Linked DNA regions of Oryctolagus cuniculus. The protein of the gene in region 2 interacts with the protein of the main gene of each other region in a pairwise test. Links are inferred from orthologs where the notes say so. Each region holds a gene or a part of one and is shown on either strand. Other genes may lie near its edges. The genes, in order: LRRFIP1 and FLII.

Evidence for each region.
Region 1: the proteins of FLII (region 2) and LRRFIP1 interact in binary tests that used the Homo sapiens proteins (3 or more experiments, as listed by UniProt). The link is inferred for Oryctolagus cuniculus from reciprocal best matches to the Homo sapiens genes FLII and LRRFIP1.

What each region holds. Positions count from the first base shown.
Region 1 is NC_091434.1:2,644,147-2,648,526, forward strand, and holds the start of LRRFIP1 (leucine-rich repeat flightless-interacting protein 1), read right to left. Parts: upstream 2,994-4,380; 5' UTR 2,927-2,993; coding exon 2,837-2,926; intron 1-2,836.
Region 2 is NC_091448.1:62,266,598-62,270,943, reverse strand, and holds the start of FLII (protein flightless-1 homolog), read right to left. Parts: upstream 2,966-4,346; 5' UTR 2,871-2,965; coding exon 2,808-2,870; intron 1,565-2,807; coding exon 1,454-1,564; intron 1,209-1,453; coding exon 1,137-1,208; intron 271-1,136; coding exon 190-270; intron 1-189. UniProt on the Homo sapiens protein: Is a regulator of actin polymerization, required for proper myofibril organization and regulation of the length of sarcomeric thin filaments. It also plays a role in the assembly of cardiomyocyte cell adhesion complexes.

The DNA.
Region 1 (4,380 bases), on a different chromosome or scaffold from region 2:
ACAAGGACCACGCTGTGTGCCGCACACCTGCCTGGACTCGGCCGCATGCCGTGCCGCACACCTGCCTGGACTCGGCCGCATGCTGTGGCGCACACCTGCCTGGACTATGGCTGTAGATCCCAACCCCTCCCAAGGCAACCCCCTTGGTGACGGAGCCCAGCTCTCACTCCTGCTCCAGAGGGACTGGGCCCCTACTCATGGCCGTGGCCGTGGCCTCAGCCAGAATCTCCCCACTCCCTCTGGAAGGCACATTCCTGGACGCCTGACCCAGGTCCACCCCACTCCCTGCCACATTCCTAAGGGCTCGTCCCTTCCATCCTCCACACAGCCTCAGGGGAGGCTGGCTCTGCCCACTTCCAGGACGGGCCTGGCCCTGGGTCCAGTGTCCCGGTCCCAGTGCATGGCCCAAGGGATGCTGGGAGACAGGTGCAGGTGTCTCAAGGAGAGCTTCTGGGTGTCGGGACAGCTCCCAGATCAGGAAGGGGGCGGCTCACGGGGACGCGGGAGGAGGCCACCCACAGGGGTCGAGAGGCCCGAGCTGCCGGTGCGGCTGTGGGAATCCTGCCAGGCCCCGCACTTTCTGCACCCCAGCCCAGCCACCTCCCCTGAGGACCCGCACGTGTTCAGAGGTGTGTCCTAGCAGCCCAGACATCCTGACTGAAGGGCACACTGTGTGTGCATGTCTCTGTAAGTGTATGTGTCTGTGTGTATCTGTGCTGCATGTCTGTGTATATGGCCTGTGTGTGCACGTGTGTCTGTGTGTGCATGTATGCCCGTGTATCTGTGCCTGTGTGCATGTCTGTGTGTGCATGCATGTCTGTGTGCATGTGTCTGGTATCTGTGTGTGTGCTTGTACGTCTGTGTATCTGTGTGTGTGCGTGTCTGCGTGTATGTATATCTGTGTCTCAATCTGTGTCTGTATTGTGTGTATGTATGTGCATGTGTGCCTGAGTATGAGTGTGTCTGTGCAGGTGTATCTTTGTGTACATGTGTCTGTGCATGTGTGCATGTGTCTGTTTCTGTGCTTGTGTGCATGTCTGTGTGTGTCTGTGTGTGTATCTTTGTGTCTGTGTGCATGTGTGTCTGTGTATCTTTGTGTCTGTGTGCATGTATGTCTGTGTGTTTGTGTCTTTGTGCATGTCTGTGTCTCTGTGTGTCTGTGTATCTTTGTGTCTGTGTGTGTCTGTGTGTGTATCTTTGTGTCTGTGCATGTGTGTCTGTGTGTTTGTGTCTTTGTGCATGTCTGTGTCTCTGCGTGTCTGTGTATCTTTGTGTCTGTGTCTGTGTCTGTGTCTCTGTGCCTGTGTGCCTGTGTGCCTGTCTGCTACCCTCGCCCTCTCCAGTCCTGGCAGCCGGGGGACTTCCTGCCCTCCTTCTCAGAGAGAACACAGGCGCAGAGGAGGGGGAGGAGCTCCCTTCCCCAGGACATCACAGCCAGGGTCTGACTCCAAGTCCATCCCTGTGACTGGCAGCTGCTGCTCCCTGGTGGGAGGCGGGGCCTCCGGGCTGTCAGCCGGGCGGGCATTCCCCCCCTTTCCAGCCAATCTATTTTTATAGAACAGGCAGATAAGAGCAGACCTGGGAGACTCATTCTTCTCGTTCCTTTGTCCCACAGCCACCAGGGGAAGACAAGGACCAGCGTTCCCCAGTCAGCTCTGGTCCTGTGTTTCGGTTCTGTCCAGATACACGCACACGGGGCTGCCTTCATGGGGAAGGGTGCTGGCACCATCCAGACTGCTACAGGTGGCCAAAGGCCCTCTCAGTGCCTGTACCTGCTGCGCCCGGCTCCGTGCTGAGCTCTTGGGATGCAGAGGTGAGAATGACGTTGGTGGCCCGGGTATGACCTTCTCCAGGTGAGGACATGATTACGACCACAGCAGGTGCCACGTGGAGGCGCGGAGGCCCAGCCTGGGGTGAGGCAGGCATCACAGGTGTGGTGTCCACCCTGGCTCCCAGGGAGGCCTCGGAGTTTGCCCAGAAAGCCCTATTCTGTCTCACACCAGAAAAACAAGGCTTTCTCAGTGAATACTCAACAAATGCTGGTGGCCGCCCCACGTCGGCAAAGGCAAAGCCGGGGGGTTCAGGGTGGGAGACACCCCAGATCCCAGGAAGCGTGCGGCTGTGAGCCCACAGCAACCCCAGCTGCCAGGAAGTTTCCCCAGGTGGGACTCGGGACCGCACAGCAACCCTCCCTCAGGCTGACCCTGGGCGGCCGTGCACGTGGGCACACGTCCCTCTCGGTCCCGGCGCAGGCTGGGCACACAACCCCAAGGCCACAGCAGGAACAAGCAGGCTTCCTTTGTCCCCTGGAGACCCCGGCACCAGCTCCCTTCCCCTCCGCCACTGCCATTCACAGGTGAATCCCCTACCCACCCAGGGATGGGGAAAAGGGCCTTGGGACGGACACCCAGCAGTGCGTGGGGTTCACCGCGCGCAAAGTTCACTTCCCACAAGACCTCGGCTGCAGTCAGTCAGCCGCCCGACTTCCACCGAACCTCACCGAGCGCCTGCACCCCGCATCAGCTCCGCCCAGACTCAGGACGCGGGGACCCCCACCGGCACCCCCCAGCGCAAACGGCAGCCGAACACCCGGGCTACTGCGGCAGAGCCACGCGGCCTCGGGGTCCCCCACAGCACCCCTCACCGCCCGCAGCGCACAAAGCGGGCACTCGCCCCTGGCGGCCGCCCGCGCCCCGCCACAGCTCGCTGCGCCCCTGCTAGGCTCGCGCAGGGCCTGTCCCGAGCCGAGGACATGCGGGGTCCGCAGGCCGCCGGCGAGAGCGGGGGCGCGGGGAGACCCGGGCCGGGTCCCGCACCGCCGGGGGCCGCGCCTCACCTCGCGCGCGATCTGGTGTAGCGCGTCGTCCTCTGCCGTCAGCCGCTCCCGCGTGGGGAGCCGCTTGCGCCCGGAGCCCGGGGTGCCCATGTCCACGGCCGCGCTGCCCGCAGCTGCCCGCCGTCCACCGCCCCCGCGCGGCCCCGCGCGGCCCCTCCCTCCGCCGCGGCGTCATGGCGTCAGCGGGCGCGGGGACGCGGGCACGGGGGCGCGGGGCCCGCGAGGACGCCGGGGCCAGGGACGACAGGGGCGGGCGCGCGCAAGCGATGGCGCTGGGGACGCTCGCGCGGGGCCCGAGGGCCGGTGGGCGGGGGCCGGGGGCGGTGCGAGGCGCACCCCGGGGTCAGCGGGCGGGCGAGGGGTCCTGGAGAGGGCGGTGCGCTGGCGGAGGCGGGACCTCTGCGGGGCGCTGGGAAGGAAGGAGTCGGTGGGCACTGTGGGCTGGAGTGGGCGCAGGTGTGGTCCGGGTTCCACCTGCGCCAAGGAGGCTGTGCCGGGTCTGTGCGCCTTGCGGGTCTGGGTCACGCCCAGGTGCGTTCACATCATCTGCTCGCTGCTCAGCGGAGTGACCTTGGCCAGAGCCCTGGGAATCCGAGCAGGAATTCGGGGTTCTGTCCACACCTGCTCTGGAGCCCACAGCCGGGACCGGTCACTCCCCTGTGTGTTCCCGGCTGGTGCCGCCCTGTGCTGGATCCTGGGCTGTAGGAAAGGAACCCCCTGAGCTGAGTGGAAGGCCGCCATGGGCATTCAGTGGGTTTAAGGTAATTTGGGGGATTAGGTATGGTTTCTAAAGCCTTGCCCAGCATTCTGGCCGTTAGCCGTCTGGCTTGGGGAAAAGAGGCAGCCGCAGAGTGGGAACCCTGGGAGTGATGGGGATGTAGGGAGAAGTCTGGACAGGAGAAGGGTGGTGGGAGAGGGAAGGGGATGCGCTGAGCGCCGAGGCCACCGTGTTTCCTGCAGACCGAAGGACACGTTAGCATATTCCTAACTGAGCGGATTGTCGTGAATTCTCGGTAACCTGGAAGCTGGGTGGAGGAGGGGCGGGGAGGGGACCCCCGCGGTGGCAGGGCAGGACGGTGAGTTGAGTGACAGGGGAGGGAGGTGACATCCAGGGAACACCTGCATGACACCTGCTTGGCCTGAGGCGGGTTGGCAGGGCAGACCGTGTTGGTGTTGTTGTGCTCTGAGCAGGTGCTGCACCTGCACAGGTAGGCACCGGGAGGTAGCTGGGGTTGGATCTCCCCCACTAAGTTCACAGCACCCGGAGCCCTGGCTCCTCAAGTACCAGGTCCTGGCTGGAGGAAACCAGGCAGCCGCTCTGGCTGTGCCCTGGACTTGCTGGTGGCCACTGTCCAGCCCCACGGGTGTGTTGTGATGACTCCCCGTCTTTGCCAAGGCTCACGCATCCACCTGCAAGCAGCCAGGTGCTGTGTTGGAGCAGACGCGGCCACCGCCCTCTCGGGGCGGCTGATGGAGATGGCTGGGACCCTCATCCAGAGCCACGTCCCGGCTCCCATGTCTCCTGCCTTCAGGAGGGCTCCCTG
Region 2 (4,346 bases):
GGCTGGGGCCTCGGGCAGAGGGGCGTTTGGGCTAGGGCTGGGACTCCAGGCGTGACCTCGGGCAAGGCCCGCTCCGGCCTCAGTCTTCCCGTCTGTAAACTGGGCTAACAGTGGGCCCAGGGGCCATCGCGATGGGTGGGGACTGGACCAAGAGGCTGGCAGGGGGCAGCTGGGCGGGCAGCCACTGACCAGGACAGAAAGGTCCTCCAACTTGAAGATGTCGTCAGGGACTCCGGAGTTCTTCAGCTGGTTGGCTCGAGCCACGATGGCCTGCGGGTAGACCACGAGAGTCCCTGCTTCCTGGCTTCCACCCCCCGCCCCGGGAAGAGGCAGAGGCAGAGGCAGAGGTGGGCCCCTTTGGGCCTGCCCTGTCTCTGCTCTACAGCCTCCCGCGGTGAGCTCCTATTCACGCTTCAAAACCCAAATGTGCCCCAGAGCCCAGCACGGAAACCCCAGATGTTTCTGATCAGACACCCCTCCTGTTCATTCAGGAAGATGGGGTGCGGTTTGGAGTGAGGGTGGCTAGGACAGATGGAGGGGGCTGGAGTGAAGAGAGGGCAACGTGGGCTGACCGGAAATGCTTCCCTCCCTAAGGTCGGGGACAGAGCGGGGACCCATGCGACCCCGGGGCCGCCCCTGCCACCTCCGCAGCGCTGTGCGGTTGCCCACGGGGTCCCCACTGGCCCTCCCAGCCACCCCATCTGCAGAAGGGACTTGTCCCAGGCCACACAGCTGGGAGTGGCAGAGCCCGGCTTGGCTCCGGGGGAGCTCCCAGGGCTGAGGCTCCAGCCGGGGCCAGGGCCACCTCCCTGAGGCTCCGAGGGCCCGGCCAGCAGTCTAACATCCAGCAGGGAAGAGCGCCCACTGGCCAAACCCCGCCCCCCCGACTCCAGCTGTTCGGCTGCCCGGCTGTGTGGCCTTGGGCGAGTGACCTGCGCCTGTGGCCATGTCCTCATCTGCGACACCGTCAGGCATGGGGGGACGTGGACGTCCACTCGGCATGCCTGGCACCCGTGGAGCTGTCCCCACCCACAGGGACCACGCCACGTCCACCCACGACAAAGGGCCCCAGAGCCCGGAGCCTGGCAGAGAAGCCGGCCGGGCCCTGCCTGGGGTCCGGCACCCGCCGCACTCACCCGCAGAGAAGGCAGGCTGGACAGCTCCCCGTGAAGCGTGGTGAGGTTGTTGTGGCTCACGGACAGGTGCTCCTGTGCCAGGGCGGGGCAGCGGAGGCTCAGTGGGGCGGGGCGGGGGTATCCACAGTCCCCACCTGCCACCCCTGCTCTGCACAGCCCCAGACGGCCAGCGCCAGCCCAGGACGCCCCCACAGCCTCCTTCCTGCTCAGACCCAGCTTCTTGCACACCTCCCAGGACGGGGCGCTCATCCCCTCCCTGTCTGCCAGATCCTCCCAAGGCCCCGCCCCTCCTCCCCACAGACCCCACCCCTCCTCACCAGCTTCTGCAGGGCGGCTAGCTCCTCGGGCAGGTAGCAGAGGCCTGTGCGGTTCAGCTTCAGCCATCGTAGGCTTGTCATGGACTTGACATTCTCAGGGAAGTAGCCACCCTGGGGTGGGGGTGGGGGTGTGCTGAGGCTGGCCTGGGAGAGGGCTCCCCCTGCCCGTGGGCACATTTGAGGGAGGCCACACAGCCAACTCTCAACAACCACAAGATCCTCCCCACAGGCCCCGCCCCCTCCAGGGGAGCCCTCCCTACTGGCCCAAGCCCCTCCCCTACCCGTGGAGGCTCCAGGGGCCAGAGCGGAGGCCTAAGAGGGTCTCTGCTACTGCCCTTGAGCCCCAGGAGGGGCCAAGCAAAATGGGGATATCCTGGCCCCCCCATTGTGTGGTGAGCTTAGCTCAAATTCCTGGGCCCCATACTCTGGGTCTGCCTGGGCTGTGGGACCCCACCCCCACCCCGTACCCTCAGCACCCTGGCCACTCCTAGCAAGGTCCCCTGCCCTGTGTCCCCCTCTCCCAACCCTGCCCGAGTGGGTGCCACCTCCTTCCTTCCCCGTGTTCCCCTCCCCAACACCCCCCCCCCAGCCCTCGTGGCCGAGTCTGGGGCAGCCGCTGCAGCCAGTGCCCAGGGGCTGTGCCCCTCCCCCCACCGGCCACATTCCCAGCTGGTGACTCAGGCCCGCCCAAGCCCAGGGGAGAAGCGTGGAGACCCCAAGTGGGGATGGCTGAGGTCGGGACGAGGAACGGAGATGGGACAGCACAGATGTGGACAACACAGGCTGGACAGGAGCCCGCCGGCCTCCGCCCCACACCCTGAGACGCCTAAGTGGACAGGCCAGAGGTTGCCCATCACCGGCCGGAAGCCCCGCCCACCTGGCTCTGGCTCTGGGCGCCCCTACCCATATTGAGAACCTCCCCCCAGCCAGAGCGTCCAGACCGCAAGTCTACACTCGCAGGGTAGACTCGAGTCCCTTCTCCGGATGAGAAAAACCCAGGCCCGGGAGAGGGGAAGTGACTTGCCCAAGACCACACAGGATGGAGCGCAGGGCGGTGATGAGCCGCCTCCGGGCCCGCCCTTGGGCAGCCAAGGCAGCGGCGGCCCTGAGTCAGCGGCCGGCTGGGCCGTGAGACCCCCGGGGCGGCGGTGCGCAGGCCCGCAGCGCCCACGCCCTCCCCCGGCCTGGGCCCGCGCCGCTCGGGCTCGGCCTTCCCGCGGGGGGACGCTGGGCGGAGGCCCGGGGTGCCGGCTGCGGGCTGCGGTGGGGAGGCCCGCAGAGCCCCGGCCGCCGCCCGCAGTGTGGCCGGAGGCGGGCGAGGTGGTGCCCGCGCCGAGCCCGGATCGCCGCTCACCTTGAAGTCGTTGCCGCTGAGGTCCACGCCGCGCACGAACGGCAGCACCCCGGTGGCCTCCATGGCGGCGCCGCTCTCGCTGCCGGGCCGGCCGGGCGCTGGGGGCGGCTCGGGAGCCGCGGGCTGGGCCAGCGCCGACTCCGCCCCGTTAACCCGCCCGCGCCCGCCGCCGCCGGCACCTCGGGCCTCGCCGGGGCCCGGGGCCTTGCGCTCTGGGGACCTCGCCGGGGCCCTGGGCCTTGCGCTCTGGGGACCTCGCCGGGGCCCGGGGCCTTGCGCTCTGGGGACCTCGCCGGGGCCCTGGGCCTTGCGCTCTGGGGACCTCGCCGGGGCCCGGGGCCTTGCGCTCTGGGGACCTCGCCGGGGCCCTGGGCCTTGCGCTCTGGGGACCTCGCCGGGGCCCGGGGGCCTTGCGCTCTGGGGGCCTCGCACTCTGCGTCCGCGCACAAGGGGTCCCCGGCGGTCTCCGTGCGGAGCCGGGGCGGCCCCACCTTCCTCACCCTACCAAGGTGGTGGCCGGCAGCGAGTGACCACGCGCGCACGTGCGGCTCGAAGCACGCAGCAGGTGCTTGGTGCGTGGCAGGTGGTTCTCATTAAGGCCCGCATGCAAACCACCCTTCCCAGGGGCGCTGCCTACGTCCCCATTGTACGGCACGGGAAACTGAGGCCCAGGCGGACAGAGGGCAGGCCCAGGGACGCACGGGGCCGGCGGCACACCCCCTACCCCGCGCGCAGACAGGTGCTAAGGCGCTCCCGCAAAGGTGACTTAGGGGTCGGCGTGCAGGCCTTTGGACCAGGTGCTACCACCCGTCTGCCCGGCCAGAGGAAGGAAACTGGGGCCCAGCCAGCTTCCTCCACGCGGGAGGCTCACATCACACACGCACACGCGCACGCATCCCCCGCGCCTCTGTGGGCTCCAAGCAGGCACCACGCAAACGTTGCGGGCCCAATAATGCAGCCCTGCGCCTTTAAATCCGGAGTGCCCCCGGAAAGCCCCGCCTCCGAGGGAGCGCGCAGGGCGGAGAAGGGGCGTGGCAGGCCCCTCATTGGCCGAACCTCGCAGTGTTTTGGAACGCCCCTGAAGAAGCCGAGCGCTCCGATTGGAGCTAGGGCCTGCTCGTCTGCCTACGCCAGCGCCTCGGCCTTCGGGGCCCGGGTCCTTCACGTTCCATCCGCAGGCGGGTTCCGGCGCCGGGTCCCGGCGGGCCCGCTGCGTGGTCCGGTCGGTGTGTGGACGCCGCGACGCAGGTACGGCTGGGAGCCCGGCGGGGCCTCCCCGACAACCCGCATCCCGGGTCCCCCAGCCCTAGGTGTGGCGCACGTCCGGGGGCGGGGCCCGGGAGGATTCCTGTGAGCCCCGAGTTCGAGTCCCGGCCCTGCCGTTCCCGGCTCGGGTGCTTGACTGGGTTTCCCAAGGCCTCCGTTGTCCTCGCCTGTGAACCGGCCCACCGAGGGACTGCCGCGCCGGCCTGGTAAGCCCGGGCCCAGCGCCGGCGGCTTGCGGGTTATTTTTAACTGCTCGGTTCCTGCGCGCCCCCC